Linked DNA regions of Caenorhabditis elegans. The protein of the gene in region 2 purifies or fractionates together with the protein of the main gene of each other region. This does not show direct contact. Each region holds a gene or a part of one and is shown on either strand. Other genes may lie near its edges. The genes, in order: lgg-2 and sqst-1.

The links.
Region 1: the proteins of sqst-1 (region 2) and lgg-2 purify together in Caenorhabditis elegans (affinity purification with western blotting, with the first as the bait; one study listed by BioGRID). This does not show direct contact.

The regions. Positions count from the first base shown.
Region 1 is NC_003282.8:10,933,381-10,937,702, forward strand, and holds lgg-2 (Protein lgg-2), read right to left. Parts: upstream 2,524-4,322; 5' UTR 2,482-2,523; coding exon 2,376-2,481; intron 1,758-2,375; coding exon 1,589-1,757; intron 1,538-1,588; coding exon 1,384-1,537; 3' UTR 816-1,383; downstream 1-815. Other genes in the region: lsm-7 (U6 snRNA-associated Sm-like protein LSm7), read left to right, coding at 147-152, 207-300, 428-536, 625-730; Protein adenylyltransferase fic-1, read left to right, coding at 4,092-4,170, 4,215-4,322. UniProt on the Caenorhabditis elegans protein: Ubiquitin-like modifier involved in the formation of autophagosomal vacuoles (autophagosomes). When lipidated mediates tethering between adjacent membranes and stimulates membrane fusion. Less effective at promoting membrane fusion than lgg-1.
Region 2 is NC_003282.8:12,032,139-12,037,549, reverse strand, and holds sqst-1 (ZZ-type domain-containing protein), read right to left. Parts: upstream 3,269-5,411; coding exon 3,100-3,268; intron 2,791-3,099; coding exon 986-2,790; intron 938-985; coding exon 830-937; 3' UTR 659-829; downstream 1-658.

The DNA.
Region 1 (4,322 bases), 1.1 Mb from region 2:
AAATCATAATTTATCAATTAAAAATACCGTTTAAAAAAATTCTAAATCAATAAGATTTTGTCAGCTTAATTTATTTCATTCGTAATCGATAATTTCATTCAAAATTTCGGAATTATTTCAGACTCACCACAACTCAACACAGAGAAATGTCGGTATGTTTTAAAAATACAATGAATAAGTTATTTATAATTGTTGTATTATTTTAGAAAGACGAAGGAAAACGAAAGAAGGAGTCTGTCGTTGATCTCACCAGATTTCTCGACAAAGAGATTCGCGTCAAGTTCCAAGGAGGACGTGAAGGTTGGTTTTTTTTTTGCACAATGATGTGCACTAGCAATAAGATTCCGTCATTAAACTATTTAAACAATATGAAAGCGTCCAACATACACAAGCTGTACTTCACTCCATAAAAATGTATAAATTTCAGCAAGTGGCGTGCTTCGAGGATTCGATCAGTTGCTCAATATGGTTCTTGATGACTGCCGCGAGTATCTCCGTGATCCACAAAATCCTTCGGTCGTCGGTGATGAGACAAGGTAATTGATAGATTTCCAAAAATCGATTTAAAGCTTGGATTTCAAATTAAATCTAGATTTTCGATTTTATCTTATCTTTTATCTTAAGACAACTGGGTCTTATTGTGGCTCGCGGAACAGCAATTACAGTAGTTAGCCCAGCAGATGGACTCGAGCAAATCGCCAATCCATTCGCAACCCAGGAAGAAGAATAATCGTTGATATCATCATCATCTCTTATTATTATTATATATGTATGTGATCTCCTTGTGAATGAACATTCTCCAGATAAAAACGACGAAAAAGTTGTTATTACATACAAAACATTTGATACATTGAATTTGGAAAAGTAACGATGGAACAAGATGTAATAATTTTGAATTGAATCCGTCTAGGCAGTCAGAAAGTCCATAGCGGTAAATTTCAATGTTCAGGGCAGTAAGGAAAATAGTCCCTATGGGCTTTAGAGACTAGCCAAGTACACAGAATCGTAAACGGTTTAAATTTTGTTGAAAGAGGATCAGTTGTGAAAAGAAGACATGAAGAAATTCAAGAAACGGGCTGGAAAATGCGGAGAAAGAGTTATGAGGGAACACATAAAGACTACACGAAAACGTAAGCGAATTTGGGTTTCTTTTTTTTCGTTTGTAAAACAAATTTCAGCTGGAAGTTTTGAGGTGGGGAATTGCGAGGGGCGAAATTAGCAAAGGCAACTAGAAAAATGGTTGGCGCCTGAGTATGATGGGTTTTCAGGTATTTACATTTAAAAATACAACATTTTACAGTGAGGATTGCATTGGGCAATCAGTGGTGTTGGTGGAAATTTAAAAATTGATTAGAATTGTGATGGAAAACGGCTCTTGATGTGTTATCCAAATGCTGGTTGAGACGTGTAAACCATATACACAAAGCCATCTGGATCACGCTCTTGACTGTACAAATTGGACATGCTCATAGAATTTGACACCATTGAGCGTTCATTGACGAGCAGGAAGAATGCTTGTTGTGGATGAAGTTGGAGGCTGAAAAGCAAACGGATGATTTTGAAAAAACAACTCAGTTGAATAGCTCACCGTCGTCTAACAATTGACATGAGCTCGGCAACGGTTATATGCTCGGGTACTAGGAATTTGCAGCGATCCATAAGTGGTAAACTGCGTTCTCCATCAAATCTTTCGATAATTACCGGAACCTTGTTCGGTTGTTGGCTGCGGATTTCTTCCACATCTTTCTGACGCTCATCTGAAATCGAATAGGTTAAAAAGGTTTTCTTTCGAAAATTTGAAAATAAAAAAGTTGTTCCTCAGTTCTGGATTTCTCTTTTCCACTCGTAAAATTCATATTTCTATTTAAAGATTGGCGTACGTTCAGTTTTGGTTGTTATCTTGAATGGTGGGCAATATTTTGAACTCTAGAATATCAATATTGATCCAAATTTTCCTATAATCCTATTTCCCTTGCACCTGCCCTATTGATCTTTGTTTCTCAGGTCCATCTATCTCTTTCTTTCATACAACGAAGAGCACCCAATTAATACGCAATGTTCCATGGGTGCTGCTCCACTGACATAGTCACTCATTCACACAAGATCAGCTGATTTTCACATGTCTCACTTGCATATTGTCTCTTGTTTCCTCATGCTCTCTCGCTGAAACGCATGACGCGGGGTGTCTGTCCTCTGCGTCTCTGACCTTTTACAATGGACGGGTGAAGGAAAAAAAAGTGGGAATGATTGGGAATGAATTGGTTGGGATGAAAACCAGATGTTTGATGTTAAAGTAAAATTAAAGTGAGACTTGAAGCTCTATTTTTATTTTGATGACAATTGTTTGATTAGTAAATGAATTTTAAAAAACTTACGGAATGGCCTTCTTTCCTTGAACGATGGAACGATTCCGGAAATGTAAGATCCTCCCCGATTTCCGCTCATCGCTGTTTGTGTGTAACTTTGAAGCGTGGCTAGCATAAACGCTTCTTCACTTTTTCGTGCTGAGACCCGATTTTCGATCTGCAAACTTGAAAAATGGTAACTGGTATTTGAAAAGTTGAGAAAACTGATTTTAGAAGAGAAATTAGAGTGTGAGATGCTAAAGGACACTGTATGTTTTTGTGAGAATTTTTTTATCAAGAAGCGAAAAGACAGGTGAAAGGGAATGGGACAGAGGGAAAAATCGAGACAGAGGCAGTAGGCAGCACACACGCTCTTTTGCTGTATGTCTCTTTGTCCTCTGTGTCTCTTCATTGATGCTACTCTCTTTTCTCACACCACAAGATCGACTGAGCGTCGAGGACACATGACCGCGAGACGGAGAGACGATGAGAAGAGAAGAATCATGTGATGAAGGAATAGATGGGGAAAAGAAAGAATAGAGTTAGAGAAGATGAGAGTGTGTATTATGACCCTTCTCCCAGCTAATACAGAAGTTCGAAGCAGTGTCAGACAGATGAAATGATAGCGAAATTTGAAACGATGAGTGGCAACGAATTAAATAAATATGACAGCGAGACTTGTTGGCGACACTAAGAAAGTTATAGGAGAAAACGTTTTAATTGAATACTTCCTAGAAAACTTCTCAACTAATGTTCTAGTGTGAAAATGCTTGGTTTTATGAATGAAAATTTCTAATATTAAAATGGGCCGTTTAAATTAACGGAAAACTAAAGATTTTATCTATACCAGCCAACTCTTTTATATCGGTCTACGTAAAAAAAGTGCTTGTACTTTGAAAATAGTGGCAGGGAGAGATAAAGGGCAGGGGAACCAGATGATCTCTAGAACTTCCAGTCTGAATCTACTACTCCCAATCAGAACAACTGACGTTTTTTTCTGCAAACTTTTTTCTCGGAACTTTAGATCTTTGACGCGATTTTCGAAAAAGGGAGAAGTGATGAAATATGATCAAGATTTCACAGCAAAAATTGGCAATCTGCGATATTTTTTTGACATTTTAAGGGTTTCCTTAGATTTTCCGTTGTTGAAAATGCGGGTATCTAAATAATTTCGAAAGAAGTTTTGAGATGAGGACGAAACTATGGAAAGAGCAAAACAATAAGTGATGAGGGGAAAGAAAGAAAAGTGAAAAATCGATGTACGAGTAAACAGACTCTCATGACTAGTGAACTCAATTATGTTTACGTCTCAAAATCGATATGTTACTGCGCACGCCGTGTGCATTTGTCTGCGTCTCGTTTATTTTCTTTTCTTTAATAGCATTTTCCGCGTACGAACTTCAAAGATGAAGAAATTTCTTGTGAAATCGAGTGGAATGTCGATATTTATATGGTTAATATTTAGATAAAAGATTATTCAGTTTTTTAAATTAGGTTTTTCGGATATAACTTGAAAAAAAAGAAGGAAAACATGCCAAAATCGAAAAAAAATGCATTTGGTGTTCAAACCATTAATCAGTACTACCGTAACTCAAAGGCGCATTAACGTTTTTTTACTCTGGTCTCGAAGCGAAAGGTGGAATCATGCTCAAAATTAATTTGCAGATCTTTTTTCTTGTTTTCGCTTCAAATGCATGAATAAGTTCTGGAAAATTTGTTTTTTTGCAGATAGTTTTAAATAATGTGATGTCAGTTCGAAGACGAACTCATTCCGATGATTTCTCCTATCTTTTGGAAAAAACCCGAAGACCTTCCAAATTAAATGGTACATTTTTGATTATTTTCCAAATAAAAACATATAATTTTCAGTAGTTCAAGAAGATCCGAAATCGGCCCCACCACAAGGTTATTCACTAACCACAGTCATCATTATCTCAGTTTTAGTATCACTAATCTGCCAACATTTTGTACCATATG
Region 2 (5,411 bases):
CCATGTTGTGTCAAAATTACTTTCTGGAACTTTATATAGACATATAGAGAAATGCTTGTACTCTCTGAAAATGATTTCACTTTGGATCGAAAATTTCAAAAAGTTACTGAAAAACTGCCTAAAAATCGAAATGTGGCATGCGCCGATTTGCACTTTGATATTTGAGCCGGTTTTTGAGCAAATTTTCGAAACTTTCCATCTAAAGTAAAAGTATTTTCAAAATGTACACATATTGTTATTTATTGCTATATAAATTTTTGAAAAAATCTTCGATGCAACGATGAGAAAAATGGGATTTTGTAACTGTACTGAAAAAACGTATTGCTCAAAGCTGTTCGCTTCCATATGCCAAAGATGATAGATGCTTCTAAATGTACGCGGCGACTTGCTGAAAATATTCGAATTGGCTTTTGGAAAATTATCGAAACTTTTTCTGGAAAACGCTTTAACTCTTTTGGTAATGAATGATATTCAACCTGAGAATAGAACTAGTTGATGTTTTGAAGTTTATTTTTCATAGTTTGTTTTGGAAAAGGTTTTTTAAAAAATTATCTGAAATTATTCGAAATGTGATAAAATTCTACAGATGTAAGAAAAATTCAGCCTCCAAGTTTCAGAAAGCAACACCATACTTGAAATAAACCAGCTGACAATAATTTTTCGCCACAACTTTATTAATTTCAGATTATTAAAAAAGCAATTTACGCAAAAGCAACATTTTCAGGTTCAAGACGAGAAAAAATAGATACAGCTTTCCATTGGAATGATGAAAATGACTAATAGTATCTAGGAGAGAGTTGGTTGGGCGACACGATACAGGATGTACAAATTAGTGAAGAAGCGCCTGAAGACACATCTCGAGATTCGATCCATTTGCTCTGATTGCAGCAACAGTGACGTTGTAGGAGAATCCCATCTCAAGGAGACGATCGAATGTCTGAAAATTCGTTAGATTAGGGGATTCATGGACGACATTTAGATTTACCTTTTCAGTTTCCTCATTAAATGGTGGTAGAGATTGCTCTGGCTCTGGGCGAGCTTCTTCTTGAGCTTCTTGAGCTTCCTGGGCTTCAACAGCAACATCAGAGAAGTCGAGTAAGTTATCATCGATGACTTCTAGACGTTGTGCAGCTTCCAAATCTGGGTATCCTCCCCATGATGGACTGAGGCTCTCGAAATCCGAAGAAATGTTCTCGAAAGAAGAGTGAATTGAGATTGGTGCAGTCACCATTGGTGTAACCTCTTCTGGATTTGATTCCACTGGTGGAAGTGGTGGAACGATCAGAGTTTCAACAATTGGTGCAGTTGGAGTAACTGGAACAATTGATGCTGGAGCAGTGACGGCTGGAGTTGCAGAGGTCGTTGAAGCTAACTCTGTGGTGGCTGGTTCGGTATTTGGAGTGGTCGGAGGATCGGCGATTCTAGAGCTCGAACGACCTCTCAACAAAGCTTCCAAGGAGTTTCCGTAAAGATCGTATAGGACAAAGTCAGCAATGTTTTCCTCGGATTTTGATTGAGATTCCTTCACATTAAGCTCAGCAAGTTTCCTCTGTAATTCAGCAGAGCTGGCTTCAGCTCTTTTCTTGGCTTCTTGTTCAAGACGGGCTTGCTCAGCAGCCGCCGCAGCAAGTTGCATTGTGAATAGTCTCTCGGCAGATTTCTTGTAGCAGGACTTCTTCTTAGCCTTCTTGATCTTTGGTCCAGACAAGCTATCTGCTTGCTTCTTCGAAGATTCCTCGCTCTTCTCAGCTTCAGCAGTTTCCGTTCCAAGATATTTCTCCTCACAGTGTCTTTTCAAATTATCCATTTTCTCTTCGAATTTGGTCATTCCTGCTTCCATGGTCGAGCGTTCAATGATCTTTTTATCCATATTGGCCTGTGCACCATCTGCCAAATCCAAGAAGCTTCTGCTCAAAGTACTGAAAGTTTCCTTGAGCAACGCTGCACTATTAATAATGGCTGCACGGGTCTCCTCATTGAAGAATTGTGGTGGTGGTAGAGCAGAAGTTGGAGATGGTGGGATCCGAGGCTCCTGGGCTGGTTTTGGAACTGCTCCATTTCCGATGGTTGGAGATGGAGGGAATGGAACTGGAGTGGAGACTGGTGGAGCTTGAGGCATTGGAGCTGGATTAACTTGATGTGAAGGAACGAGTCTCGTGATAACAGTCTTGTTGATCCCCTTGATAGTTTGTGGTTGTTGGATCTTGTGCTGCATGTAAGTTGGGAAGACATTGTTCGGAGAGTTTGATGTCACATATGATGGGATCATTGTTTTCTTTGGCTCCACAATTCTGATCATTGCATGCTCATAATGTAAAGATTTTCTCTCACACTTCTCGCACAAATCATAATCGGCACATTCGAGACACTTGAACCTATGTCCGATGATGTCACCGAGGCAAGCATCACAAGACGCCGAGTGCTTCACTGGAGGGAATGGCTTCTGAACTTCCTCGACAACAGGTTCTCTTTCCTTTGCATGAAGATCAGCAACCATCGTCTCCAAAGCGCTAACTCTTGAGAGCTCCTTTTGCAACTTCTCCAGCGTCTTCAATGTGAGCTCCTGGTTGTTCTCGATACGCTTCAGCGAGGATCTGCTCTTTGATTCACGATCAGCATCGGAAGCTTTTTTGGCAGTTTCAGTGCTCACTGATGGTAGGGCTGTTGGACGAAGGGGAACAGTTTCCAGGCGAACAAAAAGTTGAGGAGTTCGAGAGAATGTAGTGATTCGAATCTTAGACATAATCTGATCCGAATTGGTGAACTCAAAGATTGGTCCGTTGACATCACCTGAAAATTTGAAGATTTGGAAAAAAGTTACTGTGAGATATCTAGGGAAATTAGAAATCTTAAATATAATCTAATTAAATTGAGTTTTACAAAAATAACGACCTTTTAAATCTAGTTAAACTTTAAATTTAAAAAAATGGTTTGTTTAAAGGCGCACACTCTTCCTCGGAACGTCCATTAAAAATTTCAATCGTGCCGAGACCGGGCACCGTACTTTTTTGTCATAACATAGGTGTGGCATACAAATACTCTATTTGCACAATTGATTCGTCTAGCAAACGGGGCAAAAACAAAAGTATAATATCTTACCGTAGTAGAGACGATAATCAGCCGATGGGAACAGTTCTCTTGCCTTCTCGGAGATCTGTTGAAGAGCCTGATCGTTCTTCAAAATCATGAGAACCGATTGCGGATTGTGACTTGTATAGAAAGTCACACGAACTTGCATTTGGTGAGGAGCGGATGATGCAGCAGCCATCTGAGTAAAATGAGAAGTTATTTGAAAGTGAGTGAAAAGAGAGTGAAAGATAATAGAACAAGTATTGACATTATTGAGTTGCGAGAGTTGCGAAATCGAAAAAAGGAAATTTCGAAATATTATACTTCGAATAATCATCATAATGATTGTATTGTGTAAGAAATTGAAACCATAATTCATTTTTTTGGAGAATAATGCAACAACAAAAAGGAAATGTACTATTTTTGGAACCTTTAAAGATGTTTACGAGATGAACAAAGGGGGCAAGAACGGAGATATGAAAAGAAAAACACTCAAGGCTTCAAAGTTCAAGGTGGTATCTAGATCTAGTAGATCACTTCCAACAAGTTTTTATTATCATTCATCTAAATTTCTTGGAGACTATTTTTGTTAGGATCTAGTTGAACAGATTCTCTAGAACTAAAATATAAACTTTCATTATCATAAGTGACTAATTTCGTGAAGGCGTCAAAAATTTAGTAGCAGTAGAGAGTTGCCTGTAGGCAGGCAAGTAGGTACTGTTGGGCCTACAAGAAAGTTATGTAAAAATGCAATTAAATATTATCCATACGCGAAATGTTGTGATTTTTGCGCCAAAACTACGGTACCCGGTCTCGACACGACAATTTTTTTCAAATTCCAACCGGTACTGTATTCTAAAACTTTTTTCTAAAACAATTCTGTGCTTTTAAATTTCAATTTTTAGTCTTTAAATAAACAAATAAATTGTTAAGGAAAACAATTAAGCAGCAAAAAACGTTTGAAATTACAGTACTCTTTAAAGGCGCATACTTGCTTGTATTTTACAACAAAAAAGCGTGTTGAGACCGGGTACCGTATTTTTGACGGAAAAAATCAGAAAGGATAATACACAGCCTCCTCACGTGGAAATGACCCAACAAGGGGGCTTGCGCGTTTCTCGTGAGCGTTGCAAAATTTTACCACTGAAAAATGATTTCCTTCGGTTTTTGTGGGTTTAAAATCGATTTCATACTTTGAAATTAGGTATCAATTGTAAAGCTAATTCGGGGAAAGGTGGAGAAAAAAGTTTTTTGATTTTGGTTCAAAAATAAAAGCGCTGATATAAAAAGTAAAAACAACTAAAAATTGAGTTTTTCTCATATTTTGTATATTTATCATCATTTTTCTAGTAGAAATTGATGTTTATTTGAAAAGTAATCTTCCACCCAAGCTTATGTTATGAAAAATATAAAGAAAAACAGTAAATTGAAAGTTTTGGTAATTTCTCAATTTTCCACGCGATGCACGAGAAGTGCGCCAACGGACCGATTTCCACTGGAGGAGACTGTGTAATAGTCAAAATGACAAAAAAGAAACGGTTTGCCAAAAAACGAGAATATTCATTGCGAAATTTTGCTAATTTTCGAATATTTGATTCGGTTACACAACCGCAAGAAATTGCTAGTTTTAGATTTTAGAAAAGGAATTTCCTACTTAAATATCGTGTCAAAGCAAGAGTATTCATCTGGAACATTCCACTACCGAGCCTACGAGTGTAAGTGTTGCTATGGGCAAAATGAGGCCGAATGATGCCTCTTCATCTCTGTGTCTCGCATTCTTTCTCGATATTTCTATGCATAAACACATGACCAGCCTCCTCTAGGCCGATTGATTGTCCCTCTGCATAGGGCCCAAGGTGAGACGCAGATTGCAGACGGCTTCGCGAATAGTGTAGGCTGTGAGAAAGAGACGAATGACGAGAAAATACGCACAGCTGAGTGAACGGGGAATCGATGGTTTATCGACCGAAAATGGAACTGTTTTAGGAGTGAAGTGTTGCTTTTTTTTTGAATTTGAGGCGAGATGAACATGTGGTGATGCTATCAATTGATAAGGTACTGATATGCTGCATTTAGTGACTGTACAGCTGATCATTTATATTTGGAGAAGAGAACGAGACTGTATGACGTCATGATGATGAAGAGGGGTTTGTTGTGAAATGGGAAGCTAGAAAGGTCTCTATAATCTAACATCGAAATTGAAACGTGGAATTTTCTGAAATTTGACTCATGACAGTCGCATTTCAGGAAATCTCGATTTTTTCCGAAACGAAAAACACCTGCAACTTCTCAAACTGGACCCCTTCAAAGCAATCTATTACGGACTGGAAGCTTAAACTTTA